3 linked regions of the Drosophila melanogaster genome follow. The protein of the gene in region 1 interacts with the protein of each later gene in a pairwise test. Each region holds a gene or a part of one and is shown in the gene's direction. Other genes may lie near its edges. The genes, in order: CG12607, bol and CG9135.

Evidence for each region.
Region 2: the proteins of CG12607 (region 1) and bol interact in a two-hybrid assay, tested with the Drosophila melanogaster proteins (one large-scale study listed by BioGRID).
Region 3: the proteins of CG12607 (region 1) and CG9135 interact in a two-hybrid assay, tested with the Drosophila melanogaster proteins (one large-scale study listed by BioGRID).

What each region holds. Positions count from the first base shown.
Region 1 is NT_037436.4:4,441,019-4,450,491, forward strand, and holds CG12607 (uncharacterized protein), read left to right. Parts: upstream 1-5,554; 5' UTR 5,555-5,656; coding exon 5,657-5,659; intron 5,660-6,158; coding exon 6,159-6,569; coding exon of another isoform or gene 6,570-6,602; exon of another isoform or gene 6,603-6,776; coding exon of another isoform or gene 6,777-6,782; exon of another isoform or gene 6,783-6,879; coding exon 6,880-6,933; 3' UTR 6,934-7,054; downstream 7,055-9,473.
Region 2 is NT_037436.4:9,125,187-9,135,896, reverse strand, and holds the start of bol (boule), read left to right. Parts: upstream 1-5,541; 5' UTR 5,542-6,000; intron 6,001-10,583; exon of another isoform or gene 10,584-10,710. Other genes in the region: Use1 (unconventional SNARE in the ER 1), read left to right, coding at 1-39; Dhpr (dihydropteridine reductase), read right to left, coding at 287-910, 1,007-1,090. UniProt on the Drosophila melanogaster protein: RNA-binding protein that plays a central role in spermatogenesis. Required for meiotic entry and germline differentiation, at the transition between G2 and M phases of meiosis I.
Region 3 is NT_033779.5:6,045,740-6,056,668, forward strand, and holds CG9135 (uncharacterized protein), read left to right. Parts: upstream 1-5,099; 5' UTR 5,100-5,182; exon of another isoform or gene 5,183-5,328; intron 5,329-5,877; 5' UTR 5,878-5,938; coding exon 5,939-6,283; intron 6,284-6,340; coding exon 6,341-6,922; intron 6,923-6,982; coding exon 6,983-7,519; 3' UTR 7,520-8,138; downstream 8,139-10,929. Other genes in the region: slmo (slowmo), read right to left, coding at 1,314-1,961; CG34179 (uncharacterized protein), read right to left, coding at 2,000-2,041, 2,395-2,904; IPIP (inositol phosphatase interacting protein), read left to right, coding at 3,138-3,198, 3,272-3,607, 3,675-3,893, 4,335-4,609.

The sequences.
Region 1 (9,473 bases):
TCTTAATCTACGGCTCAGCAAGCGAAATTCAGCGTAATCCATTTGTTTCAACAACTTCCTTATCCAATTGACCGATATTACCAACACGTTCCATCCCATTTGAAAACCCCTGACCTACGTCTGAAGTCTCATGCTTGTATCGCATTAACAGTAAATTAATCAATTGCTAATAGATGTTTAACAACTGTTAACCTTCCCGGCGAGCATTCAAGTGGTTGCGAATTAATCACGAATCCCACAGACAGCGGCGATTTATGATTAAACGCTGCGATTCTTGAGCGTGAACAAAATCGTTTAGCAGTCGAAAATTGGCAATTATTCGCTTGGCCGTTCCAGAAGAAGTCAGTTCATCATTTGGGCTCGTGGCTAAAAAATATTGTAGAAAAAAAATATAAAAATAAGAGATTGACTTAGCCTTTGTTAAGGATGATTGCCTGTGTAAGCTTGAGATTTTCAATAAACGCTGTGGGCGCCAGTGATTAGCATAATACCAAGGCACTGGCAACACATTTTGTGCGCTCTATTAAATTTTAATTATAAAACGAACAAAACGCCAACATTAATCAAAAGATGCAGAAAAGAGCGACAAGCTCGATGCGGTCTAGATCGATCAGATATGAAAATTCATTCATTCAAAATGGTGTGGTGAAGATTTAAGCCCCAGAGGGCGGCTTTGTCACGCAAATTTGGTTAATGCCGCTTCTGAATGTTCAACCAAAAACGTCTCGTCGTCTTGTCGTCTTGGCCAGCGTGAAGCAATTAACGGCAAAAATATATGTCTAGTCTGGGCCATTCAGTCATGTGGGTCGTTGTCTTGAGCACTGACAGCACTTGTCAAACCAATCCATAATGGATGTCAAAACAGCAGCAACATCGATCGCCACAATGGATCTCCAAAGGCTGGCTAAGAAATGCAAATGCAGAGTCAACAAAGATAAAAACCGAATCCGATTGAAAAGGCAACACGACGCATAGCAGTTAATCCACTGTTTACAATCTCTTTACAAATTTCAACCTTGGCCTTACACACACAAAGCGCAGCAAACGGCATCCGATTTGAAACAATGTCATAGCAGTTAGTCAAATCATCAAAAACACAACACACATTCAAATGCCTTTTGTGCCTGATGGATACAGATGGCCAGATGATCCGTTGACTCACAGCAGATACAGATGCCAGAACTTTACACAACTCGGCAGACAGAGCGGCGGCCAAGAAGAACCTTTATCATCATCATCATCCACGCCATGTGCCGCATGGAAATAATCATTCGAAGCCGAAAAAAAGAACCGCAAAACGGGTTCTTCTAATAGCCATTAAGCTATCGTCTCACTCTCAAATACGATCATAATAATCAGCATTTGCATTTGTGCAAATTGGCTAGAATGGCTTAAACTTATAGTTATAAACATTTAAATCGATCACCTCTCTTTGGGTTTTTGCCGAGCTATAACTGGTTGCTGGACTTCGTGTCAGGGTGGGTTTGTCACAGAACTAGATCACATCGATCGTTTCGAACTATCACATTAGCCTTTTAAGCTTAGTGCCAGTTTTATTGGGTGCAATTACTCAAAATTCAAGTTCACTGCCAGTCGATTACAGCACAATCGCAGGGTATTCTTGGGTATGTCCATTGGGGAAGTGTATATATCCATATATGTCTGTTTTATGTTCGATTTTTGCTTATCTGGATTGCCATATTTACGCTCTACTAATGAAATGTTGAATCTGACCTTAATTCTTGAGTTATAGCCAAGCAGTTCCATATGCAGACCAAATTGAATCCTCATTAGCATAATTTGGTTTATATTTATTTTAATAAAACAAACCCAGGTCATTTGATTGTTCTTTAACTAACTAATAAATAATAATTGTACTTTAATACTACTACTAATATACTAATAATTATATATTTGACAAGAAAGGTATCCATAATAGTTCGAGTTGGGCTGCAGTATGTAGCAAAATTGAACATTTTGTGACAATTAGTCGATTTAATTATACAAATTGGCCACTACGCTTGCATGAGCTTCAAAGTTCAATATGCTAGTTCACATGTCTGAGTTTGCAGCACGAGCCGGCCAAAAAGGTGCCAAAGTGGCTAAATTGGCAATGTTCACAGCCACCGACGTCGAGATATCGCTGATGCTTTTTTTCCCCCTTCGGCGGCATCGATTTCATTGTTTGCTGTTGTTGCGAAACAAATTATAGGGGTATATAATAAAAAACTTATTATTAAGTTAAACAATGATTAGATGAAGCTCTTTGTGGCCATTCTCATTCGCAAATCGTCTTTCGATTCTCGTGACCATTTGGCTTTTATTTTATGTCGATTCTGACTAATTTCAATAATTAATTTATGCTTCCCATTAAATGTTAACGTTCTTCTTCGGCAGCTTTCACTGTGCGCGTGTCCCAGACCGTCGGTCTACGACGACTGGCAATCTGCCCTGGCCGGTTAAACATTAAACATGTCGAAACACCTGCAAAACAGGCAAGTTATATGCCATTCCAGAGAGTTCTTCGATTTTGGAATCAAAGACAGACTAACTGTAGGTCAAGTGATTGATCGACGTTAATTGGTAGAAAACATTTGTTCACTCAAATGCAGAGGCGGAAACGAGGCTAAGCATTAGGATTTATAAGCTATTTTAAGACAATTTATTGAGGCGGTTATAAATCTTTCAAGTACCCCAAATATTTTGAGGTGTTGCAATAAATATTTCTGGGCCTAGATCATCATTACTACCCTACGAACGGGTAACTAAACTTTGTCCATCACTGTTTATTATGTTTGTATATATTTCTTGACAAGAGTATGCAAAAGTTTTCAATTGTCTTTTCAACATGATATATTTGCCATGCTTCAGTTGTTGTTTGTTATAATTTTTTGCGTAAAATATTGAATATTCATATTGCCGCTGGTAGACGTCGTGGTGAATGTGCGGAAGCTTTGTTAAATAAAGAATTCCACATACTACTATTTACGAAGCATTGTGTCTAGAAACGTGATAAAATAAAAACACGGGAAAGGTAGAATGGCTTGAGAATCTTCGCTTGGACAAGGTCAAAATAAAATTGTATTACAACGCCACACAATGTCTTCGCTTTTAAACTAGCTCATTTTACTAAGAAAGATGTCAAGACATAAACGACCGTTAAAAATGTTTTATTTTCTGTTTATTCACACGCGCATATTCAAATGCTAAACACAGCTGGTGACCAGAAAACGAGGCGTGTCTTACCCCAAACCAAATCTCTTGGCAGCAACTGCGGCTATAAAAGAAATATTCAAAAAGCACGGGGCTGACTTTGGAATCCTTATCAGGTGACTAAAATCGCTTGTAAACACACCCAACCAGAAATCGATCGCCTATGAAATCTGTGTTGTATTTAACCCCGGTCGCACAACAGGTCGCATGCTTAATATGTATGAACGTTTAGAGCAAAACAAAACGAATTTAGAGAGGCACGTGAAATTGACTGGATTCTGGCTATGGGCAGGCATAAGGTAATAAATTTCAAGAATCTTCGATTACCGGCATTTAGCCAAAAAAAAAAAACTTCTATGGCGGCTCAGGGCTTTTGATTCACTTGGTGCGATATCTGGTTCCTGTATGCAAATTGGGCAAAAGTAGTCACCTTGTTTCCGTACACACAAGACACGATGATGGAAAGATCAAAAACATATTTTACGGGGATATTTATTTTATATTGGCATTAACATAAATAAGAGTCAAGAGTCCGTTAATATAAATGTTATCACGAAGCAGACAGCTGCACTATATCGAAATCGATTGTTGGTCGCATAAATCTGCCCCGCCCTTGTCATTGATTTACGAATGTATAGACTTATAACCATAGGTAGAACGATGCTTTTTAGACGCAAATGACACATTTTGCAAGTCAAATCGCTGACTCAATAGACAATGGCCGCAAATGGCATAAGCAGTCAATAATGAAAGTTTCGCGGGAGATCAAATTTATGAATTTGAAACCTAAGATGCCAGCGGACCAAAGCATTATTAATTACATTTTAAATTTTCTAATAACCGTAAAAACACACGATAAATTGTTGTTTGGTGTTTATTATTTTGGGTAGATTATGAAAAATGCTGCATAAAACTTGTATGTTTCATCTCTGGCCGTTGACAAATATTCCATCAATCAATGCAAGTGAAAGGCAGCAAAAATGATGTCACACGATGGGGTCAGAACCATTTTAAAGTGGGCTTATAGCCATAGTTATATTCATGGTAACATCTTTACAAAGCCCGTTGGTATCTGCGTCGAAAATGGCTTAACAATTTCCTGTCTTAGAGCCACTTAATCTTTTCAGGACGGCCTTGATATCAAACAAATCATTTTTATTGGCACTGCATCTATGGCTCAAGTGGATTCATTCACTTGACGGTGGCAGGTGAATGTATTTCCCCACACACACACATGAGAAACGGAAATGATGTATGACCAAAAGCCGTTAAATTTGCTTATTGTTGCCACTAAGGTCAAGTGAAGATACAAACAATCATGCCAGCAGTCAAACCAATGAATGAAAGAGGGGGCTACCAGGTCGGCTGGCAGATGGGCAAGCAATCTACAAATTGACATGGTGAAGTCAAGTTTTGTCTTATTGAAAACATAATCAGTACGCTTGTATCCAAGCTTGGGCTATCACTTCGATGACTAATCTTTCCCTTGGATAAACTCTGGCAAGATTTTAGCATACTGGAATAGAGCCACTTCAATATGAAAATATTATTCTAATAAAAAATTATGCAAATTACTTCAAGCAGGAGACAAAATGAAAGACTTAGGAAACAAACTTTAATTGAGGCACGCGCTGTGAAGAGACAAACGGCGTTAAAATCAGAGTACATACACTGATAAAAATTGAGTAAGGGGAATTTTATTTGATTTAAATGAAAATTTTATTTCCTGTTCTTGAAAATCAAAAGACTTAAGACACGAACATTAGTTAAAGAGTAATTGTGTGAATGAAATCTTTCGAATCCGATTTCCTGTAAATGTCACATTTGCTTAAAGAAATTGTATTCGATATTTTCAAAACAAAAGACTTAGGCAACGAACATAGCCAAAAATCACATAGCCCTCTTATTAACATTTATTTCGCCACCTTTTGAACAGTGTAGATCTCTAATATTGTGGGCCTTTTTATTTGTGCGTCATGACTCGTGACGACATTTAAGTGATTGTCCAAAGGGTCCCGGCAGCATCTCACAGCCCGTCGGCATCTCCAGCATCCTCTTCTAGTCGCCGATTCTTCTCAATTCGATTCGTTTCATTTAATTTAAATTTTGATTTGAATTGCCTCTGCTGCCGTTGTTGCTTTTGGTGCTGAACGTTGCCGCTTCTGCTGTTAAGATTTTGTTTTTGCCTTATTTATAACGCGGTGTGCGGTTTGTGTCTCATCGGGTTTTGGTTTTTGGCGGTCGCCGTCGCTCTGCCCAGACTCTCTTAGACCCACGTAGCGAACTGAACCGAACCGGACGGACTGAACGGGCGATATAGTATAAATTTCATACCCACTGACCAGCTCATCATCATTTGTGCTTTGAACTTCTTAAGTGTAAATTGCTCGTTTGCTTCTGCTCGAGAAAATTTCGTGAAACCCCAAAACCAAAACAAACAAAAATGGTATGTGATCCTTGCAACAAGGACAACGAATTTTAGTGATATGCTGCTGTTTTAACCAGGATAAAAACGAAAAACAAAAGACCAAGTGAAACGTGATATAGAACTATTCAAATTAGAAACCCAAAAATAACTCTCACCACAAGTGCCAACCAACCCGGACTCAAGTGCTCTAAACGACTTCATCAACGCGCTGTCCCGTTTCTAGTGCTCCTCGGGACTTGATTCACTTCACACCCGTGCCGAAGCCACGCACATGATTATGCTTCAGAATGTTCTTAAAATAACAATCTCACTCACTGGCAGTTTTTGAAATATCTGTTAATTTGTATATAGCAGATTTTGACTTAAACTGAGGTCATCCATATGGGATGATAATATAAAAAGTTGTGTCCCTCAAATTGTTATAAGTCTTAGACTTATTGCAGTTAAGGACATAGTCATTCAAGCAAAGAACTAGGTAGCAGAATTGATGGTAAATATTCTCCTTTTTTTTTTGCAGAAATTCTTTTTGCTATTGGCTTTGGCCCTTGTGGGCATTGCTGCTGGAGCTCAGCTTCCTGACTCCGCCACCCAGGGACCCAATCCTCAGGATATTGCCACCCCGGAGCCGGAGTACATTGATATCGACGAACCTGCACCGGTGGCTGCCGCACCTGCTCCTCGTCCTGTGGCCGCTGCTCCCCGTCCCGTCTTCGCCGCCCCTGCTCCCATCGCTCGGCCAGTTGCTCATCCAGTGGCTCGCCCCGTGGTTGTGGCCCAATCCTTCGTCCAGCAGCCCGTCCAGCAGCAGATTGTCCAGAGGGCTCAGTACGTGGCGCCGGTGGCTCAGCAGGTGGTGTTGCCGCAACAGCAGCTGGTGGGACACACCTACAACAGCAGGGCTGGATACCAGTACCGCCGTCCAGTCTATGTAAGACGTTTCTATCGCCTGCGCCGCTACTAAGAGGACGCAGCTAGATCTTAACTATATTTAATACGTGCTCGACAACCCCAGTAATTCCTCCTATTTTGTCGTTTCTCTTCCTTCTCCTCCACTCCTCACCTGCCTGAATCAACTCTCTACGCACCAATCTTCAACTCAAAAACCAATCAAAATCAAAACCCAAACCGTATCAAGCATTAACAATTATCCAAATCAACACACACATTATCACGCACTGATCCACACTATCAAACTGTCCAACTATCAAAATATCGTATTATAACTATCCTAATCCTAGAACGAAACCATCAAAGAAACGACCAACAAGAAGAAGTCAAGATCAAAAGCATAAAGAGCGAAGTACAAAGAGACAAATGATGTTCTAAAGACAAAGATCGAAAAACGAAGTATTCAGTTATTGTTGAATTGCCCAGTAAAGTACGAATAAATAAACGTAAATTATTTGTAAAAATGATAAACAAATTTTTGGTTCAACTATTTCATTCATCTACCAAGGCCAATCAAACTGGTCGGAAAAAACGGGGGAAGAGTATCAGGTTTTAATTATATTATTCACAGCTCATCAAAGCACAATAAAGTGTGTCGAAATTGTACAAAGATTCGTTCTCGATTTGATGAGTACCCCCCATCGGCATCATCGTTGCTGGTTCCTCATTAATCATGGATTGCCATGAGGAAAATGTACTTGCCATCTAATATGGACATTTGCATACGGAAGCTGCGTATCTGAGCACTTGGGGTCGACTTATTAACAAGTGGCTGGGAAACAATTTCTGTGTTGCGTGGTGTTGGCACTCATTAAGACTACACTGGGCTTAAGTGGTGCGTCTTATTCGGCTAATTAGGGAGAATTATTTATGCAGCTTCTTGCACGACTCTTGACGGGTCGTAAACCGAAACTAGCCGCAGCTTAAACAAATAGAAATACATAAATCTACTAGATTACTTTCAAAATACATTAAGTTTAACCGGTTTAGACATCTTCTGAACCTGCCAAGTTGTCCCAAAAATACACACAAACGACCACTGGCCACATAGTCAAATCAGAAGTGTAAACAATCCGATTTAAAAGCCATAGTCTGTCCGGGTGGTCAGCTTTTGAGACAATGTACTATTGATTGATGGATTGATTGTCAATTTGATTGCCTTGCCTCAGCTTCTATTCAGGGGCATTAACAGTCACTTTTGTCAGTGAACTATGACAAACTGGGTCTTGATCCATCCATTCCATTCCACTTCACTCCACTCTACTCCTTTGTATGGATGGCAGTGGTGACAGGCGGGAAATTCATCATCGGAGGTGCTTCCGTCTTGGCTGGGATTTTTATTTATTCCCTGGTCAATTGGCATTAATAGATCGTTGTGGCCTAATGACTGAATGTTGATTACACGGACTTACACACCCATATTGCAACTTGATTTTAAAGTAGTAATTTGTAACCGGACCTTGTTTTTTAATTTATAATAACATTACAGCACTTTTCTCACAACCAGCATTGTTGAACGCTTTATGTGTTTAATTGCTAAAGGATTTTCTTCTCATAACTGCTAAAAATCAAAACTGTTATACTCTCATGTTTAAAAGCATACAATGGGGCAGCATTGCAAATTAAGTTGCGTTTAGATATTTTGACGAAAAATAGGCTACACTAATTAAGTAGACTTTAAAAAAAAATTTGAAAAATTGATTTCGCTAAAACCATAATGCACTAGCCCAACATATCCTGTATATTTTAATAAGCAACTTTATATAAATATATATGTCTAAGTGATACCTCAACTAATTTTTATTACGCAAACAATACGTTTTCGGCTGTTTAAAAGAAGTCAGTGCAATTAATACATACCGCATGAAAAAAGGCAAATTAGTTTTATTAATGGTTTTGTAATCTGAATATCGTGTAGGTCAGATTTAATAGCCATTTTAAATTACATTTGATTTATTTTTTCTGTTCGTGTTGATGGATTTATTTCAATTTTATTTTATATTGTTAATTGACTGCTCGAACATAATTGCCAGCATTATATTCATCATACGCAAAGTATGCACAATCAAACCCGAAATATTAATGTAGTTATGATCCACGTCCACGTCTAGAATGATCCGATATAAGCTAACTTTCAATTAGCATTTCGTCTCAAATGCATCAGCAAAATGATCGTGCCAAAAAATAAGGAAACAAATAGTTGGTTTCATTAGTGGCGAATAAGAAACAGGCTAGACCGCCTGTTCGAGTGGGGTCATCAGTTTTTCGGTTTTGCTTTCTAAAATCAATGATTTGACAGATAATTTATGGGCCATGTTTATTTAAACGGCGCTACTAAGAGCAACAACCGTAGATAAAACTCTTAAGTAAATCATTGTTGGGCGTTCAGCCAAAGATAAACGTAATAATCTTATTAATTTGCATTTGCTGACAGAAAGAAGCGGGTGGCTATAAGGGAAAACTGGTTCCCAGCCATTAGATCATGAAGTTGATTTGCATAAGAGCAATTCATTTTGTCAACAAACATTCCACGGGCATCTTCTCCATTGATGGCAGCACCGAAAAAATAATGTTTAACTTCCTGATCGCATTAATTTCACTTTCACAGCGATACAAAAAGGTTCGTGTCTAACAATACGCACCTGACAAAGTGGATTAAGTGAAATTAGTTTTCGCGGTAATAAACTTATGGACAAGACCAGAATACTGGCACACATAGCAAATAGTGACCCCCCAAGTCACTAACAGTGAAATAATAGTGAAACGAAAACATTTTCATTCAAAAATACAAAGTTAAGTTTCTCGAACTGGGGCTCCGCTGCCCAGCTGCCACGCGATCGCACAAACAGCTGTTTGCGAGCTTAAAGCTTTCTATCCCAGGGTT
Region 2 (10,710 bases), 4.7 Mb from region 1:
GTTTTATTCATGAAGATTATGAAGAAGAAGAAGTCGTAGAAACAATTTCCAAACTAAGCAAACTAAAGATTGTACTCTAAGCAAGCTTTAAACGCTCGTTAAGCTCCCGAGTTCAAGAGGTTATCCACCCAAATCGTGTAAGCAGAACCACATTAAACGATCGAAAGCCGCCCAGCGATTTATTTATGAATAGTTTATGTACAAGCGAAAGCGTTTAGATTATGGTTTTTGAGCATTTTTGTTTCATCATTAAGTGTCATTTGGATTCGTATCTGTATCTCTTAGCCTATTCGGCAGCGATAAGCTGCGTAATGCCGTTTGTGGTGATCAGCTGCAACAGGGATCCAGTTTTGGGCCTCTCCTGATCTTGGGTCCACTTAAGGAAAAGTCCGGCCACCTCGGTGAGCGGTGTCCAGGTTCCAAAATCTGCATCCGGCATCCATTTACGGTTCATGGGTGTATCTAGAGTTACGGGAAGTATGGACACAGCCAGGGAACCAGCTGGCAGACCGGATTTCTCAGCGCCCAGCGAGCGGGTCAGCTGGTGGACAGCTGCCTTGGCCATTCCATAGCCGATCATACCGGGTGTGCCCTCCAAAGCGGGCTTAGCTCCAGTGAGAGCCAGCAAGCCTCCGGCCTTTAGATGCTGAGCAGCCACAGCTGCCGAAATGGCGGAGGTCAACACGCTCTGCTTCCACATGAGATCGGCATTCTTGGCCAGATCCTTCTTGGCATTACCACCTGCCCAGCCGCCAGCCACGCAGATGACGGCATCCAGTTTCTCGCCGGCAAGGGATTCCCCGACTTTGGACACCACCGTTTCCTCCTGTTCCACCCAACTAGCATCGCGTGGCACCACAATGCTAACGTCGGCCTTCTCGTTCTCCGTCAGATCGATGCTGCCAACCCACTGATGGATTATCCAGGTGAAGGTCGTAGTTGACGCGAGGGAAAACAATAGATAATGAGGCAATTGTATTTAATAATTAAGTGAAAGGTAACTCACATAATTGTTGGCTTTAAAGTGATCGACACAGGCCGAACCCAAGGCTCCTTTGCCACCGTAAATAACCACTCGACCTGCGGACATGATGCGTGCTGCCAGTTTTAAAGTTGCAATTTAACTAAATGCGAGAAAAACACGAGAACACCGATTTTGGTGAGTCAAAATCGTGCGGGAGCTTTGAACGCAGCTGGGGTTTTTAACCGCAAGACCAGTTCTACCGGTAATAATCGGGAGAATGAATTTCAAGTCGAGTTTAAGCTTCAGCGTGCAGATATAGCTTTTTATTCGCTACAAAAAGATACAGCAGCAGCAACAAGTGGAAAATCAATAAGATGACCAGAAAACGCACAGCAAGGTCACACTGTCGTGAGTAAGGCGTTATTTGGTATTTTTTTTTTTTGGTATTCCACAGCTGTTCGCCGCCAACTTTACCCGTCTCGCTCACGCATTGCTCGCTGCTCTTTTTTGAAAAGGGAAATGCGTGAAATTCGTGCGCCGCATTTCCACCAGACCAGAGTTACGCGCCGTAGCTGTGTTTTCCACTCAGTCCCACCAGTCGTCGTCGCGTTACGTCATGGACACTCTAAAATATGAGCCACTTTCGAACTACAATGTAGTTCAGGCAAATAGTGAACACAGAAATAAAACTGTCTTATCTCAATTAAAGAAAAATTTCCCCGAATTGTTTAAATCACAATTAGAAAATATATGCAGCGAATATATAGATATATTTGCATTAGAATCAGAACCTATAACAGTTAATAATTTGTATAAACAACAGTTGAGATTAAAAGATGATGAGCCAGTATACACGAAAAATTATAGAAGTCCTCATAGTCAAGTGGAAGAAATACAAGCCCAAGTTCAGAAATTAATAAAAGATAAAATAGTTGAACCATCAGTTTCACAGTACAATAGCCCTTTGCTATTAGTACCCAAAAAGTCAAGCCCGAATTCTGATAAAAAGAAATGGAGATTAGTAATAGACTATCGCCAAATTAATAAGAAACTTTTAGCTGACAAATTTCCACTACCGAGAATAGATGATATTTTGGACCAACTTGGTCGAGCAAAATATTTCTCCTGCCTTGATTTAATGTCAGGTTTTCATCAAATCGAACTGGATGAAGGCTCGAGAGATATAACATCTTTCTCAACCAGCAATGGCTCATATCGTTTCACGCGATTGCCATTTGGCTTAAAAATAGCGCCTAATTCATTCCAAAGAATGATGACTATAGCATTCTCCGGAATAGAACCGTCTCAAGCATTCCTTTATATGGATGACTTAATAGTCATAGGTTGTTCCGAAAAACATATGCTTAAAAACCTCACTGAAGTTTTTGGTAAATGCAGGGAATACAACCTAAAGTTACATCCTGAAAAATGTTCATTTTTCATGCATGAAGTCACATTTTTGGGACACAAATGCACAGACAAAGGAATTTTGCCGGATGACAAAAAATATGATGTCATTCAGAACTACCCAGTTCCACATGATGCGGACAGCGCTAGACGTTTTGTAGCATTTTGCAATTACTACAGACGTTTTATCAAAAATTTCGCCGACTATTCGCGGCACATAACAAGATTATGTAAAAAGAATGTTCCATTCGAGTGGACAGATGAATGTCAAAAAGCATTCATACATTTAAAATCTCAGCTAATTAACCCAACACTCTTGCAGTACCCAGACTTCAGCAAAGAATTTTGCATAACAACAGATGCAAGCAAGCAAGCGTGTGGCGCAGTTTTAACTCAAAACCATAATGGCCACCAACTCCCAGTTGCTTATGCATCCAGAGCTTTTACGAAAGGTGAAAGCAATAAGAGTACAACAGAACAAGAGTTAGCAGCAATTCATTGGGCAATAATACATTTCAGACCATACATTTACGGAAAACATTTCACTGTGAAAACAGACCATAGACCATTGACATATTTATTCTCGATGGTGAACCCCAGCTCTAAATTAACTAGAATAAGGCTTGAACTAGAGGAATATAATTTTACAGTAGAGTATCTAAAGGGCAAGGACAATCATGTAGCAGATGCGTTATCAAGAATAACCATCAAAGAGCTAAAAGATATAACTGGAAATATATTAAAAGTCACTACAAGATTTCAAAGTAGACAAAAATCCTGCGCAGGAAAAGAACAATTGGATTTGCAAAAGCAAACCAAAGAAATAGCTTCAGAGCCCAACGTATACGAAGTCATAACAAATGACGAGGTACGAAAAGTAGTGACATTGCAATTGAATGACTCGATATGTTTATTTAAACATGGAAAGAAAATTATTGCAAGATATGATGTTGGTGATCTTTATACTAATGGAATTCTTGATTTAGATCAATTTCTCCAAAGGCTTGAATTGCAGGCCGGTATATATGATATCAGCCAAATCAAAATGGCACCGTGGAAAAAAATCTTTGAACACGTTTCAATAGATAAATTTAAAAATATGGGCAATAAAATATTAAAGAATTTAAAAGTAGCGCTACTTAACCCGGTGACCCAAATAAATAATGAAAAAGAAAAAGAAGCTATATTGTCTACATTACATGATGATCCAATACAAGGAGGGCATACAGGCATTACAAAAACCTTGGCCAAGGTCAAAAGACATTATTACTGGAAAAATATGAGTAAATACATAAAAGAGTACGTAAGAAAATGTCAAAAATGCCAAAAAGCAAAAACAACAAAGCACACAAAGACTCCAATGACGATAACTGAAACACCAGAACATGCTTTCGATAGAGTTGTTGTGGACACAATTGGTCCACTACCCAAGTCAGAAAATGGTAACGAGTACGCAGTCACTCTCATATGTGATTTAACCAAGTACTTAGTTGCCATACCAATAGCAAATAAAAGCGCAAAAACAGTCGCAAAAGCTATATTTGAATCTTTTATTCTAAAGTACGGTCCAATGAAGACGTTCATAACGGACATGGGAACAGAGTATAAGAATTCAATAATTACTGACCTGTGTAAATATTTGAAAATAAAAAATATAACATCAACAGCTCATCACCACCAGACAGTTGGAGTAGTAGAAAGAAGTCATAGAACTTTAAACGAGTATATACGATCCTACATATCGACGGACAAAACCGATTGGGACGTATGGCTTCAATATTTCGTATACTGCTTCAACACGACCCAATCTATGGTACATAATTATTGTCCATATGAATTAGTTTTCGGTAGAACAAGTAATTTACCAAAACATTTTAATAAACTACATAGCATAGAACCAATATATAACATAGATGATTACGCTAAGGAGAGTAAATATAGGTTAGAGGTAGCATATGCTCGAGCAAGAAAACTTCTTGAAGCACACAAAGAAAAAAATAAAGAAAATTATGACTTAAAAATAAAAGACATAGAATTAGAAGTAGGAGATAAAGTTTTACTAAGAAATGAGGTAGGTCATAAATTAGACTTTAAATATACGGGGCCCTATAAGATAGAAAGCATAGGAGATAATAACAATATTACGCTACTTACTAATAAAAACAAAAAACAAATAGTTCATAAAGATAGATTAAAGAAATTTCATTCATGATTGAATTTAAACTTATATTTTCCTTAATCATTTATACAAATTTTCCATACACTACGTATATTTTTATCTTTGCATTATAAAATCAACTATTGTTGTTCAAACAAAAACACAAACAAAATAAAAATAAAAATAAAATAATTTGCATTTAATAATCAAAATAACTTCACTAGGTTACGTTATTTTTCAAAAGGAGGGAGATGTAGTATGTGCCTATGCAATATTAAGAACAATTAAATAAAATAGCATATTAACTTATGGCAGCACTTTGTTGCTATGTTTATGTTTATGCACGCAGTTAGGCCAGGGCGGATGTAACATGATCACCCACTCGAAGGCCACAAAGTATAAGTGCATTGCCCACTCGAAGGCAAAAAGTATAAGTGCATGGTCAGCATTCACACGCCGACCAAATACATATTACATACGTACATACATATCTCGCTCTCCCGATAAGCCTAGATATATAAGATATACATAAGAACGCCGCTCCGCTGCTGGCGTACCCGGCAGCGCAGCTACGCGGATTAGCCTAAGTCAAAATATATAAAAAACTGTAAAATCGGAGAGACTCTGTAGACGTTGAGCTGACAGAACCATTTCTGCCTACTCTAAAATCAAAAGAAGAAATTGAATAAATATATGTCAGCCCGACGGCTGCCTTCAACTTAAAACGGACTTGTGTTCTTAATTGGAGTTCATCATTACACGAGAGCAGTTGTAGAACTAAAATTGTTGTGCTATATCGCTAAACGGTGAACGGTAAATATTGAAGAGAGTTTTCCTGGCTTCAATTTTCCTTTGCAATCGCCCCCACCATCCTTGGAATTTTGGGTTTTTTGGAAGAGAAAAACACATGTGGTGTGTCGCCACAGTGTTTTGGTTTTTCTCGGCCGCCCAAGTAGACGGCGCGTAGTTTTTCATTTTGACGGGAGTTTTCCTTTCGGTCGTCGCCTTACACTCATTTCTAATTGTGATTCGTAGGAAGTAAGTTGTCTAGTGCTATATATATATATATTCAAGTAAAATTGTTTTAAATCGGAACACACAACAATAATATATACAAGTAAACACCACTAAATATCGGAAAAGAAAGAAGAGCAAATAATTAAATTACAAAAGAAACCAAGAGAATATCAAGCTAAATCCCATCATCCCATCATCCCATCGTTTTTGGTCTTCTGGTTCTTGTTCATCACCGACGTTATTGATATTGATATTGAATACTGGATATTAAGATACATATATACAAACGCATCGTATCTGGGATAAACGTTCATCACAAGGAATATTAATGATACGCAAAGGCTGTAACTGTAAACTGTGTCCCCTCTCACGTAAGACGTAACGTAAGGCAGCCTGTGGAAACGACGTAGTTTGGACGCAATCAGAAAAATCTCCAAGGAGGACGCAGCTAACGGTGAGTTTTCCTGATGACAGAACAGGGGATTGCTTTTGGGTGGGGGGAGGATGAATGTCACTCGCAGGGAAAATGAAAAATGCCAGGCGAAAATTCTTGGCCATGCAACTCGTTTGGCCGCTCTGCCTCTTTCGCTCCCGCGTACGCTTATGTGTGTGTTTATGCAGCGGAAAACGTGTATTCTTGAGAAAAACCAGAAAATCGAAACCCGGAATTGGGTCAGTATGTCACACGCCGTCCCGCTCCCACCGATTCCAATTCCGATTCCGATTCGAGCTGCTAGTCTGGCTAAAAACTCTGGCTAAAACGTGTTTCGTGCTTAGTCAATTTGTTCTTTTTCATCTAGTCGCAGCTGCGCTGCCGCAGTTGGCGTCGCTGCACGGCCACTTGACTAAAAGCGGCCTAAACAGCATCGCCTCCAGAATGCCTAAAAAACAAAACAACAACATGTAGTGCCGCTGCACGTGTGCGAAAGAGAGGGCGGCGAAAGGTGGGAAAAAGACAGAATGTCTGTCACCCGCGCGACCAACTTAAATACCCTGTACTTATGTGAGGGAATATTGTAGAACAGCTTATTAGTATAGATTCTACACAATAAAACCGTTTAATCATATCACGAAATATTGATAATTAGTACATACAAAACATATGTGGTTTTGTCAGCATAACAAATAATATTATAATAATATAAGGTCAATACATGAGATTTTTAGGCCCTAATATAATTTTCCTAGAGGCAGAACTGCTTTTTTATTTATTATTAATTGCTAGATTCTTTTATACAAAGATAGTTACTTTTTAACTTACACATGTATGTACATATGTATGTGAATGTACATATATGTATATGCTGAGTATCTCCTATTCGCCAGCTTATCTTTTGTGATGTAAAATGATAAATGGCTCGCTCTCCGACTTTCGTAGTTTTGCCTCTCTCTAGTTTTTCGGCCACTCGCTTCACTTGATCTTGCACTCGGATTTCGGCCGAGTTGCAGTCGACAGCGCTGTCAGCGTCGACGGCGACTGCGGCGGCGGCGCTTTTACCTTGAGCACGCCTGCACTTGTCACAGCCCCTCCCCCCGCCCACCGACTCACACGCCGTTTGAATTTGAACTTCTGAAAAAGCCAACACCTTTCGAAATTGTAGCCGCTTTTATTTCTTTTTCTTTTGCCTCCGAGCAGCGGCATTTTTATATTTCTGATGTTTGCTAATAAAATTATTACGACTTGGCCGACAGCGGCTGCTAATGCGTTTTAAGGTCGCCGACGCTGCTCTTGTTGATTTTGATCCAATAAAAAAATGTGATGATGCCCCGCTTAGATTTCTCGGTCCATTTAACATGTGTCCATTGGCCCAGGATCCGATTTGATTTATTTCAAAGTTATTTATTATACAGTCAGGCGAAAAGCAAAACAAACATGAATGGGGAAAATTGAAGGCAAATGGCAGACAGCTGGTGCTCATTTTCCGGGATGCGAAAAAGGGATAGAATTGGGATAGTGCACTGAGAAAAATCAGTGAAAGAGTTCATATCATATCATACTGCATATGTTTGCATCTCAAGAATCTCTTTGTATGAGTAGAGATCAAATGGATAAGGAAACAGCTTTCGTTCATGAGATGTCTATCTCTAAAAACTACTTATAGGTGGAAATTTATTCTAGACAAGGGTAGAGAGCACTGCAAATACGTATCCAAAAACAACTCCCCAGATAATTCATCATTACATCATAACCGTTGCGAATTCATGACTAATGGCCGATGATTTTTCTCTCTGTGGGGAATACGCGACGTCGTGGGATAGGGATAACAACACGGAAGAGGCTCCATTATAGGTTGCTGGTTTACTAGTTAACTGGGCTCCAGCCAAGGGAGCGAAAGGGAAAGGTGACGAACGAGAGGGAGAGAGCGAGAGAGCTAGGGGGAATCTGAATTACAGAGAGTGGGCGGGGGTGGTGACACTGACAGTGGAGCACCTTCGTCATCGTCAAACATTCGGGCTGTATAAGAGCAATAAATAATGCACACGAAGAGCAGTGATGAGAGCCAATGATATGGGAAAATATCGGACGAGAAATTCGACAGAGAGAGAGAGAGAGAGAGAAAGCGGAGAGAAATTTGGGGGGCGAGCGTAAGAGATTCGCCTTGGGGGGTTGATTGTGTTTAATTTTTGCACTTAAGAGCGCAAAAAGTGGCTTTGATTTTCCGCCGGCCCTTCTCACGCAGCTTGGGGCATGCCAACTTTGATGGCCGATTTGACCAACCCCCAGGAGGGAATTCCCAACTTGGCTCATTAAATTGATAACATTAAGCAGGCGATATTTAATTTGATTTTCTCCAGACACAAACACAATCTGATACACAAATTGTATAGATTCTATAAGTTATAGTTTTCTGAAGATTTAAACTTAAAACAAAATTACTGTACTGTTTTCATAGTGTAAAATACCTATGCTAATTTTAGTTTTCGTGGCACTTTTAAATATTATACATAAGCATGATAATTTGTCAAAGTTTCTTGTAGTGCATATATTTTTCGCAGAGAGCATCCACTCAAAAATATTTCCGTATTCTTGGCAACATTGTTGTTGGCGATGGGTTAGTGGGCGGAAAAGTGGGTGTTGCGTGGGCAGTCGCCCCACATTTGCATGTTCCCAACACGGCACACATTTTCTCGCTTCTCTGCGCCGCTCACGCGTCTCTCTCTCTCTCGCTCTCTCTTGCCATTTTTCTCGCTCTCTGGACGGATGCCCAAGTATATAGCCCAAAGTCCCAAATTGGGATAGGGATGCGAAGGCTATAGCGCTAACCTATATAATTTTTTGTGTTCCGCTTCTAACAACAAGCACATCCTCTGGTGGTGCTCCAACCAAAAAAGGAAGGAAATCAAAACCTCTGGCAGTTGAAGGTTCTTTTTTCCTACACACTTTTTTAAAGCAGTTGCTGATTTTAATATATATTTTTCCACGTTTGTGGGGGCAGAGCAGCAGCGTTTTTTTTTTTTTTTTGCATTGCTTCTGGCTTTGAATTTAATGTTAAGTATACGCATCAGTGAACTCAATTTAATTATCATGATTGTTTCGTCCGCTGCCTGTCTTTGCTTTCGCTCTGCTTTGCCGTTGATGAAATTCAAATTTTCCAACTTCACAAACAGACGCTTCTCGCAATTTTCCAACGTGTTTTCCGCTGTTTTTTTTTTGTCCAGCTTATGTAAGTGAAGCGCTGAGAGCTGATAAAAATGAAATGAAAAAAAATTACCTAGCTAGCGGACGGACGGGACTGGCTGGCCATAATTACGAGCTTTAGATTCGCTCGCCCTTCGCCCATTTTTTATCAGTGGCGTTATTTATGCGTCCTCCCACAATGACAAAGTTTCACGGAGTGGTTGATAGTGTGGGTGGGGGGGCAGTGGTGGTGGTGGTGGGGGGTGCGCCTTTGATAGACAACAATTGAGCATTTGAAGTGCAGCGTAGCGCAAAGAGAGCTCAAAAGTGGAAAATATGTGGAAAAACAAAACTGAACTAAACTGAACTGACTGACTGCTATTCTCGTCGCAGCCGAAAACCCAAACGAAAAGCAATTAAGTTGCCTCGGATCATTGCACAATAAGTAAAGAATCAAAAAGCTCGAAACATAACTGTGTTTGCTGCCCGTCCAGCCAAAACCGTTGACGTCGCTGCCAACTTCGCAGTCGCTGCCGACGCTGCACACTGCTTTCGGCCCATATGAATAACAATAGGGCCAGTTGGCTGGTCGGCCAGAACCCAACGAATTCGGTTAATTAGTATTATAACTAGAAGCCCCCCAAAAAATAGGTGTTGCTCACCACGCCTCATTGGCCTGGATTTTAAACAAAACCAGTCAGATTAGCACAAAGCAGATGCGAACAAAACGCAGTTTTATGAATTAAATTACTTTATTTAAGATTTTAACGATTAATTACAAGCGTAATTTAATTTAATTTAAGGTAAACATGGACAAGATACGAATTTTATTTCGATTTAATTTCCAGATCAGTTTTTTTTTTACTAATTAATATATATTCTTTTATATGAGATATGCTTGGAAATCAACAGAAATGTACTTTGTTTCCAGTTGGAATTATAGCCACAGGCATTTCCAATTGTCATTTGCCGAAGCAAAGGCACAGTGCCAATCAGATAATCGCAACCTTAACCGTTATTAGATCACTGTACAGCTGCGTCGCAGTCGTCGTCTCTTTCTAGGGCGACAACAACTCTAATCGGAACGGGAGATTATGTGATTGAGAGAGAGAGTGGGTTGTTATTGGCGGTGGGCGGTTGTGGGCGGTGGGTGGTGTGTTTAATAAATAGGCCAAATATGTAATATTGCTAAAATGTGTTTATTGTAATCTTTTCACACACACACACACACAACTACACAAACTTAAAACAACGCACGTGCATCGTTGCATCCCTTGGATTTCGCTCAAAGAGAGCAAGCGCGCGGCAACAAAGAGCGCCAGAGAGAGTGGAGCGAACTGTGCTGCCGCAGTCGCTGCCGCTGTCGACGTCGACTGCGCAGTTGGGGGCCCCCAAATCGGGAAACTATATTCGTTCGACGCTGAGTCGTTGTTCTACCGTCGTTGAGATTGCAACACTTCTCGATTTCGGGTTTTCGGAATTATAAAAAATAACAGAAATCCGCCGTTGCCGCCGCTCTCCGCTTATTTTCGGCCAAAATACACA
Region 3 (10,929 bases), on another chromosome or scaffold:
CCTGCAGCAATCGCTGCACTGGCGTCACAACTTGTTTTTGTTTTTCCCCGGCTGGGAGTTTGCTGATAAGCCGGCGTAAACATATTTTCCATTACGAACGGAAACCTGCGTTGCTGAATGGTCGGAATTTAGGTAAATAATTAACGCCAAATACCCCAAATTGAAGCACAATAACACTAACACTGAGCGGAGCACACGTGCGTCTTAGCTGCAAATTACGATCGTTTTGAGGCTCCAGCTCGGTTTCCCCTCATTTCGCGGCTCAATCCACCACAGCGTTCGGTTGGCCAGTGCTGCACAGCGACTGCCGCTGGAATTCAAATTAACCCTTAGGCGAATTGAGCTTTAAAAGCTTTCGTAAATTGTACCCATTGCGTAACTTGCAAGGGTTAATGCTACACGGGTTCAATGAACCAAATAGTTTAATTGTAATTCGTAAGGATTACTTGTTTATTTTGATTAAAAGCTTACGAAAACTGCTAAATAAATAAGTTACTTCTTTTGATAAGTTAGGTAAAAGTATTTCACCTTGTCCCTAGAACACCTGCTGTTTGATCATCAACTTGTTTCCAAGCACCCACTTTCCCCTTCAATCACATTCTTCGCAACTGTTGAACCAGATAAGGGACATATCAGTTTCCATGTCTGCGATGCTAACTAGGTACACAGTTGTTGAGCCACTAGGCACGTGGGCTTTTGATGATAAGCGAATAAAACAGACGCCAAAAATCGCTAATCAAGTATGTATGTAGAGAAAAAACCCACAAATCGACTTTCTTGGGTTTTATTTATACACAGAATGCTTAAAATTGCTGCAGTTGCACATGCGAACGTCATGCAAATGCAAAAAAAAAAGACGCAGTACAAGTGTGCTGCGAATTAAAATTAAACAATTGAACTTGACACTGGCTGGTCGTAGGCAAATATGTCGTTTAATTGCTCCTCTCGTTCTTCGAAATCTGCGGCGGCTTACAAAGCTTACATTGACTATGTACTTTAGGTTTATATATATATTGATCTGCATGAATGGGGGCCAGCATTAGCGCGAGTTCCTTCCAGTTCAGCCATTCGGGGGCACTTCTTTATCGACATGACTCATTAGCAGTCGATTCGTTCGAAGGGGAGTAATAATTATAAAATATATGCATTGAATGGCTTGAGAATAGAGGAAGGTGTTGCTGTCCCACATGTTGCTGTCCATGTCCATCGTGCCATCGATTAATTAGTTGTACTAAAACGACGACCGCGCGCCATCTAAATAATTCACTAGTGAACAGCCCCCGCGCGACCTTGCACTGTCGCCTTGTCGACACCTACGTAATGTGCATCGCCTTCGCCGCCTTGGCGGCCTGCGCACTGATCTCGTCCATGCTCTTCCGCGCGCTCTCCGTCACCTCGTCGATGGAGCGCCGTGTGTTGTGCAGAAGTTCGTCGGTGCCGCGAGCGATGCCCTTGACCTCCGTGTTGATCAGCCCGATCACCCACTCCAGGCCCTGGCGTCCCTTGCCGGCATTTGTGCTAATGGTCGAGGTGAGCAGGTCCTCCATGTAGTGGGACAGCGGCACACCAAAGACGGTCACGGTGGCCTCCTGCTTGAGCAGCGTCTTGCTGGCATCCGACGGATGCGGCTCATAGTAGAGCACCTCGTCCACGCTGATGTTGCGGCAGAAGGTGAGGTTGTTTGTCTTCAGCACCATCTGTTTGCGCTCCGGGTCCACCGTGGAGCGTTCGCTGGCGAAACAAGTTTTGGCCGTGCCGATCAGCGCGTGCGTCCACTTGGGGAAGTACCACTTGGACTGCACCAGGCGATGCGTGTGCAGGACGCCGTCCACCACACGGCGCTCGACCACGTCCGTGCCAATGATGGAGGGCGTCATCGGATTGGGGTACTTGCGCCACGCCGCCTGCGTGACCGTCTCCCACGGGTGGTTGAATATGTGCTCCGATGTCCAGATTTTCATTATGCAAGCGCCGTTGTCGTCACCGTCCGGGGAGGGCTTTATATCCTTAATTGGCAGCCGAGATGCGGGCTGAGCTGAGCCTGCGGGGGCAGACGGAACGGAATTAAACAGGGGGAGCGTTAGCTGAAGTACACGACTCGAATTTTGACGGCAATCTCGGAATTATTGAATATTTCCGAGACAAGTTACGAGAGCTGACCTTTACTCGTGCTGTGCTGCTAGAGATGACAGTGGCTCCGATAGATGGGGCTATCGCTGGCCAGTGCATGGGCTAGGGTGGTCACACTGGCGCAGTAAGAGAAAATGAAAGTGCCGCAGGCACCCTGTAGCGGTAACTTATTTATTAAATTTATAAACTAAATTAATTCTAAAAGTAATGGCGGCACTTTGACATTGCACGTGCAGCTTCCTATTGCGGCCCGAAGGTACGTACGTATTTCTCGTAGGGCCGTTTATCCAATCGCTGTAGTCGGCTCTCCACGAGCTCCCGAAAGTTGTGTATTACCTCGGCATCCGCCTCGATTAGTTTCCTCTCCTCGTTGATGATCTCGGCCAGCTGCTCGTCACTGTCCGCCGCCGCCCGACGTGACACCGAGCCCTCCAGACGAGTGCTGATCTGGTTGACTATCTTCTCGCTCTCGTAGTCCATTATCTTGGCCAGCGCCTTGGCCGGCGTGCGCCGCGCATAGCGTGACTCGGGTATGGTGGGGGCATCCAGGTACGACTCCTCCTGCACCGCCAGCGTGTGCGGCTCCTGCTGTTGCGCGTCTTGCTTCAGCTCCTCATTTGTGTACTCAATGAATTCCTGCAGGGAGGGCTCATCGGGATGCGTTTCGCTGAGCGTGGAGTTGTTTTGAAAATTGGTCAGGTGGAATGTGCCATTGGTGTCGTAGAACTTGTAGCCCAGCATCTCCAGCGCGATTTCCGTGAGTAAGTACGACATTTCGCAGGATTCAAAATTCGTTTATGTTTGCAATCTACATTGAAAACTAGAAATTCCGCACCCAGCAATCGATAACCGGTGGAGGTGTGGCAGCACTGGCCATCAGCTGTTCGCGCAGCGTCAATTGTTTCTCGCTTTGCATTTTTTTTACCTGTTCATCACAATAATAAGAGACGAAAGGCGGAAATAGGACACCCATATTTGCTTCGAATGCAGCCCGAGACAGTGCAGCCATGAAGATCAACGAGAAGAACCTGTACGTGTTCGCGAGAACGCCGCCCTTCGACATGGAAGGTATGCAAGCGAGCCCTTTCGCTCGTCTATTAATAATCATAATCCATTTATCACACACCGATACGCCTTGCAGGCTTCCTCAACAAACGGGGCGAGGTCAACAAGGCCTTCCAGCGACGCTACTTCGTGCTGAAAGGCAACCTGCTCTTCTACTTCGAGTCGCGCTTGGACAAGGAGCCCTTGGGCCTCATCATTGTCGAGGGCTGCACCATTGAGCTGTCTAACGAGGTGGACAACTACTGCTTCGAGATCGCCTTCAACGGCAATCGCACCTACATCCTCGCCGCCGAAAACCAAGACAGCATGGAGACGTGGATGAAGGCGCTAACATGCGCCGGCTACGAGTATAAGCGCATCATCCTGGCCGAGCTAAAACGCCAGTTGCAAGAGATGGAGGACGCAAGAAACAGTGAGACTGCACAATGGCTAATCCTACAATCCCTGTGCACTAATCCGCTGCGTTCTTTAACCTACAGAGATGCTCGGCAGCGCCTTGGACGGACCACAAAATGCATCGGAGAGTGCGAAGCCTAGACCGCCGCCCAGGCGGACAAATCCATTCAACAGACCCGCTCCTCCTCCACCAGACAGTTCGCTGAGGGGCGGAGTAGTCATGTCGCCCCTGCCATTTATCAACGGATACTTCGGATCGAGCAACGCGCGCCTGCAGCAGGAGAAGCTAATGAGCAAGCAAGGTATGAACACGTACTCTTAAAATGGATGTACAATGCTGTGGGTATAGTAATGCAAAAATTAACTGAACGGAAGTGACCAAATTGAAAGACGAAATGAATCACCATGTTCGGGGCTTTGAGTTTTAAAAGCTAATTTTAAGTGGGAAACTTGGCCAATAGATAACCGCAGAACTACAACTTTGCCTAAATACAATCATACGGCATTTTTCGGCCCCAAAGCCAGCTGTTTGTTTGTCCCAATACAATGTGAGTCTACCGTTAGTAGAAGCTAGAGATAAGAGCAGAGTGCTCTCAGTATAATCCGAACTTCGATTGCCAGCTTATCGTTGCCATTTACCCAGAGCCGATCTAATTTAGTCAGCGGAATGCCACTAAGCGACATTCTCTGCAAAATCTGTTGCATATTCCCAAAGCCAGGCTACAGGCACTTTCTACTTGCAGACGCAAACGGAAACGGAAGCCCCAGCGGAACGCCCAGGGCCCAGCGCCGTCCCACGCCCGCTCCTGCCATCGCGAACAGCGTCTTCTATCCCGATGTCCGGGATCCGGGAGCGGCCAACAATAATCACAGCACCGTCAACGGTGCTGAGCGCCAGCGTCGCCAGGTCAAAGCACTGGAGGAGTTCGCACGCAACCACGAGCGCTTTCGCAGGGAACTGATGCCGGATGTGTCCGCTTACCGCGAGCGCCAGGGTCAGCCGCTCATCCAGTTGTGATGTAGGAGTGGGCTGCTCCGACAAAAAGCCAATGTATTACCCGTTTTGTGCTAAATCAAATACGTTTCAAATGAACTATGCTTAATTTCCATACATGTTTGTTTCAATAAACAAAACTTTAGATATAACAAATTTCGGCGATCATGGCGCACTCAGTTATGTGGGCATACTAATAATTGGGTTTTTTAGGTTATTTGTTAGAATTGAAGGACTAAGTTGGTTTTAAAGTTAAACATAATGTTGGGATTACTCAAATGGATAACTTAAAGAAACCTAATTTTTGGATGACAAAGTTCTACATATGAAAGAACAAAACTTTTTTTGTCCAAATGAATAGACCACATATTAATTGTTATTTAGAACATAATATTTTTTAAAAATTCGATAGACACAAAACCCAGTGTGAACGGCGAAAATAATCGATAACTGCTAAGAAAACAAAAACATCGACGTTGGTTGCTTTGTGGAAACATCGATAATCGCGAGCAGCCATCGATACATGTTCCAGCTCTGTAACCTAGCGTTGTTGTTTGTAATTTAGCTGTGAAAAGTAATTAAGCCGCACACAGAACTGTAAGTTCACCCGCTAGATAAATATATTTGAGTAAAAGAACACAACCCGAAATGGTTAAAAGACTGCAAGAAGTCAGCAAACTTATTTGATTCGTTGAAGCCGTGAAATGTCTCTGTGTTTGTAAAGTGACGCTACCATTTTAAAGGTGAATTTTGCGCCGGGCATTGTCTTTTCTGTAACTTCGGCATGGACTTTTTTAGTTTGAAAGCCAAAACTATGAACACAATGCGTAGTTTTTCGGGTATCAAGAACTCATTTATCAAAGGCTAGGAATATTCACTATATCTGTTGGCGTCGCTTGCTGCGGCTTTCATTTTGTTTCTGTGCAAAAACCACCACACAAACACAGGGTCACACAGACGCGAGCACAGCAAACACACACCACCAAGCGGCCGAGAGCGGCTTGGTTTTGGACCGTTTATGCGAAGCTGAGCTCATGAAAACCGGAATTACCGTTTTGAAAATTATGTTTAGTTGATATTTTGAAACACTATTTCCAAATATAGAAATACATAACGTAAAAACGTAACGTGTTTTTAAATTTAATATTACGACCCTTCCTACTTCGATTTCACGTATTCAGCAGTTCATGAAGATTAAAACATAAACACAGTGCGCGCTACGCTCTGCTGCGTGTGAAGTTTGGTTCCGGTTTTCAGGGCTTGAACTTATCTTCTACATTGCTCCCTTCCAGCCGCCGAGCAGAGAGATCCAGACCAGTCCAGTCCACAATACAACCCAGTACTAGCGAGAAAATGTCGGCCAAGCGAAAGGCAGGTGGCAATGGAGCCGGACCCAACAAGCGGCGACCCAAAAAGAAGGAGTCGGACTACGAGGACGAGTTCAGCGACGAGTCCGACGACGATGGCGTGCAGCAGCAGGCAGCGGCCGCCAACCAGATGGAGGTTCTCATTCCCCACGACGACCTCGACCCGCCTAGCAAGCTTCCCGAGGACTTGCTGGCCACGCTAGAGAAGACTCCAGGTCAGATGCTGATCGCCGGCATGGTGACCTGGGACCTGACTGGCAAGCGGGACCGCAAGAACGTCACGAAGGTGCGGCCGAATCTGTACAGCTTCCATCGGTTCACAGAAGAGAAGGTAAGCTATTCCGCACAGTCGTGGTCCACTTGATTTCTGAGTTCTTTTCTTTCGCAGTACCGATATGTGGCCAGCGGACCCAGTGCCGCACACACCATTCTTATCAACATGGACCGCAAGGCGCTCGGTTTCGGGCGTAATCCCAGCGGCCAGCTGGGCCTCAGCCAAGACATCAAGTTGGCGGAGAAGCCCACCATTATTCCGGCCCTCGAACAGCTGAACATAGTGCAAGCTGCTGTCGGCCGGCACCACACTCTGTTTCTCACTGACACGGGAACCGTATACGCCTGCGGCGAAAACAAGTCCGGCCAGTGCGGTGTGGGAAATACGCATGCTAACATTTATTCGCCCACGCCAATTAACTACCGAGGTCCGCCGATCATTCGCATCGGTTGCGGAGCTGAGTTCTCTGTTATTCTGGACATTAAAGGTAGCCTGCACACATTTGGGCTGCCGGAGTACGGTCAGTTGGGACACAATACTGACGCCAAGTACTTTGTCAACGCCAACAAATTGTCATTCCATTTCGAGACGTCGCCCAAAAAGGTCGTTTTGTACATAGAGAAGAGCAAGGAGGGTCATGTAACGCCAGTCGATGGCGTGCAGATAGTTGACTTTGCTTGCGGCAATAATCACACGGTATGTGGATAATCTCCATTCCCCACTTATTTCAAGTCTAAACTACATTTTTCTCTTCAGGTCGCCATCGACTCCAAGAAGCGCGTTTATAGCTGGGGCTTTGGCGGTTTCGGGCGTCTCGGACACGCAGAGCCCAAGGACGAAATGGTGCCGCGTTTAATGAAGTTTTTCGATACTCAGGGTCGGGGTGGGCGCAGCGTCTTTTGCGGCTCCACTTTCAGTCTGATCGTCAACGAGCTGGGCCTGCTGTTTTTGTTCGGACAGAATAAGAAGACGGGCGAGGCAAATATGTACCCCAAGCCAGTGCAGGATCTTTCCGGCTGGAACATTACCGACATTGGCTGTGCCAATACATCGATTATGATTTCGGCCGACGACACACTGATCGCTTGGGGCGCATCGCCCACGTTTGGCGAGCTGGGCATTGGGGAGTTCCAGAAGTCGTCGACGGTGCCCAAGGAGGTGCCAAAGTTGGACAACATTAAAATACCTCAAGTGACTATGGGTTACTCGCACACGGTGTTGCTTGTGGACACCACCCATGAGGCCACCAAGCAAAAGTACGAGAAGATGCCCGAGTACACTATCGATGATTAGGTGATTAGATGGTGTGCGGCTTTCCAAGTGCTGCTGCAAACACGTTTACCGCTGCCAACAACAATACTGCTCCATGTAGGAAATTCTCAGAACTGATCATCGAAACTCTGCTGCTACTTATCGAAAGTGAAACTAAACACAAAAATCCAGCAAAATGTATGCTATAAGTTAAAAGATTATTATTACGCTAAACTCGCTATCTACATACTATACGATAATCTCAGAAAACGGAAAAAAAAAGTTGATTATGTTTCCAAACTCTAATTTATTCTTGTAACTGATACTATTCCATCCTGATCCTGTTCCCCTTTTATAATTTATTGCCGCCCACCTTTAGGCTTAAAAAGATGCATAAAAAGCATGATTACCCATTTTTAATTTTTAATTTGTAATTTAAACGTAACAAGTTACAGTATTCTGCATTCATTTCGAACAGAGTGAGCAAAAGCAACCACAAAACTACAAAACACGTAAATTAACGAACTAAGCGCATAGGTTACATATAAAAAGTATACCATGGAAAAATCCAATACCAGTTGCAACTATTAATAGTACATCATGCATTTTAATCTTATACAAAGGAATATTTAAATAAAGAGAATGTTAGTATTTAGACTGCACTCGTTTATCACTGGCTTTTCACTGAATGGTAAACATTAAAGCTACTTATAGCTGGCACACATATTTCCTATCGAGCAGGAAACTTTATGGAGGTTTGACTGTAGAGCGGCGAATCTAAGAACAAATTGGAATCAAGGATTAGCCGCACTGGGGTAGCTGTAGGTCAGTCCGCCAAGGGATGTTTGGCGGTATACCCCGATTTCTGACCTGTGCCGACTGAGTTCCCAGGCCCAGTCCCAGTCCCAGCCTTGAGTCCTCAGTCCTGATGTCCTGCCGATTGAAAGCGAAAGTCAGAGTGCGGAAAGCTCCGGCGCAAAGCTCTCTCTCTCACTCTCTCGCCGAGTCTCTCTGCTCTCTCGCGCGCGAGGACTCTTGACTTCGGAGTGCGACTTTGCGGCCGGAGCTCCGGCGGATTTTTCCCTGACACAGTCTTCCGCCGTGGTCCTGTCGAGTAATGTGCGCCGCTGAGGAACAATCCCTGCACGTCGCGCCTTGAGTTTCATTTTACCTTTTTTTCGCCCCCACCCCACCCGACACTCATACATACAAACACCGACCGCACACTCGCACACAGACACACACACACACGCGCACATTTGACAATATCAACAAAATAGTTCGAGGAGTTTTTAAAGCGTTTTTTACAAGTGTACGGCGATTCATTCTGCACACGAAATACATATTTGCTAAATTAAATATATTGAAAAGGCGGCACAGCAACGATCTAACTGTAAATTACAGTGCCTTCCATACAAAGAAAGCGCCGCAGAACAACATCGAGCAGCAGCAGGATCAGCAACAAATGCCTCAACACACTTCGTTAAGGATAACACGGTAGGACATTACGTATACGCAGTGGGGGAATCCTTGTTTATGCACATGTATATATGTGTGCATGTATAGGTTTGTTTGCGAGCGTATGTGTGTGCGTGTGTGCAACATTATTTTTCGCTGTTGTTCCACTAGTTATGGTGTCCTTTTTTCGGATGTGGGTGTGTGATTGCGTTGCCAGCGACCATCGCCTGCGAAACTAATTAGAAAGTGTCCTGCCCGAAATCCATTCACCAAATGGAGCCTAAAATTAAGGAGGGAATTTCATTTAAAAAAAAAGGACTATAAATTCCTTGTATAATTATTTCTCATCGCGCAGATACAAAGACTTGTTTGCTGGCCATTGTGGCGGTCACGAATAGGCCAACGAACAAGAAGCCTGGACAAGGACCCCCGGCATCCCCGACCATACCCATCCGTCCGTCCGCCTAATACGAATATAAAAGCTGCTGAAATCAATAAAGACAGACAAAAAGCTACGGGCTGGCTGACGTTAAAGCCAAAGGAAAAGAAAGGCAGGCAGGGCGCAGGGATGTGGATGTGGCTGTGTATCCTGCGCCTCGGCCAAGACAGGACTACCGCCCCCCAAACCACGGCTGTGTGTATATCGTATCTGCTTGTGGCACATTAAGTCACCTGTGGCGGACACTTTTCATATCGGCAGCAACAACAATGGCAAATCTCGTCATCATCGCTTTCTCTCGCTCACCTACCTCATTGGCTCTCCTGGCGGGCACATCCTTGTGCCCCATAATCCAGCTCCTACCCTCTTTCATCCTGGCTTTTGTCACCTTTTGAGCTTGTTGCTGACGTTTGAGTGACGCAAATTAATACATACACAATTCGTTTAGTTCTGGGATCGCCGCAATCCGCTTGCCAGCAAAAGTAGAGAAAGAGAGTAGCCCCAAGTCGAGAGCCTTCAGAATCACCGCCTGTCTATCCAAAAAGGCGTCAGCAGTCGAATATGCTAATTTGTGACTTGCAAAATTATTCCGCCCGATTTGCTCCACCACCGAATTATTTTTGTGGGGGCGTGACTTCAATATAAACAAAGATCAACACAGAAATGCTCAAGGAATCCATAAATCCATCGAGTCAGATGTGAAGAGGGTTCAAAAAACGAGTTAAGTTAAGACCATGCTCTTTAAACATACATATATCAAGTGTATGCAGATTGATGCTTTTCTCTCGGTGTATCGTTTATAGCAAAATATGTCTGTTGTCATTAAAGGTGAAGAGTGTGTTTTTGGGGCTTCAACTGCAGGTGCTGTCCTTTAAATATCAACAAGGACGAGCAAGGACTTGTTTGTTCGGCTTTCTCGCGCAATTAAGCGAAAACTTTCCCAGACATGCTTCCTCGATGGGGCTTAACGTCAGCGGAGCAGCGATGTCAGTGGCAGCCATCATCTGAACCGAATGACAGTGGAGGTCGCTAGAAAAGGGGTTCCATTTCCACTAGTTTATACTACCGAACTGATACTTAAATCAAGGCAGTTAAAAATTTAATATGAAACCGGAAATGGCTTCAACATCTCGTTAACGCTCTGCCCAATTCTACAGTCATCCGATTTTAATGAAGCAAAATTTACTGCCATGCCATGCAAGAGATATGAATCACCGCATGGGAATAGCCCACAAAGGACCCTTACCCCATGCACTCTATCATGAACACCGCACACACTTTTAATCTGCGACTAATTGCTGCTCCGTATTGAATTGATTTCGGTTGCCCCAAAGTGCCACATTCCAAATCTCCGTTGATTGGGGAAATCCCCGAAAAACATTCGAACCATTCGTCCCTGGCGAGCACAGAAACAGCGTCTCTGATTCTGGCAGGAATTGGAGGGCATAGGGCGGACCTTGTGGCGGTTTGTCGAGTGCACAAAGTGCAAGGTTGCGTGGCCATTCATTTCGCAGCCGATGGGTGGAAGTGGGCAGCGGTGGGTGGCGCCCGGAAG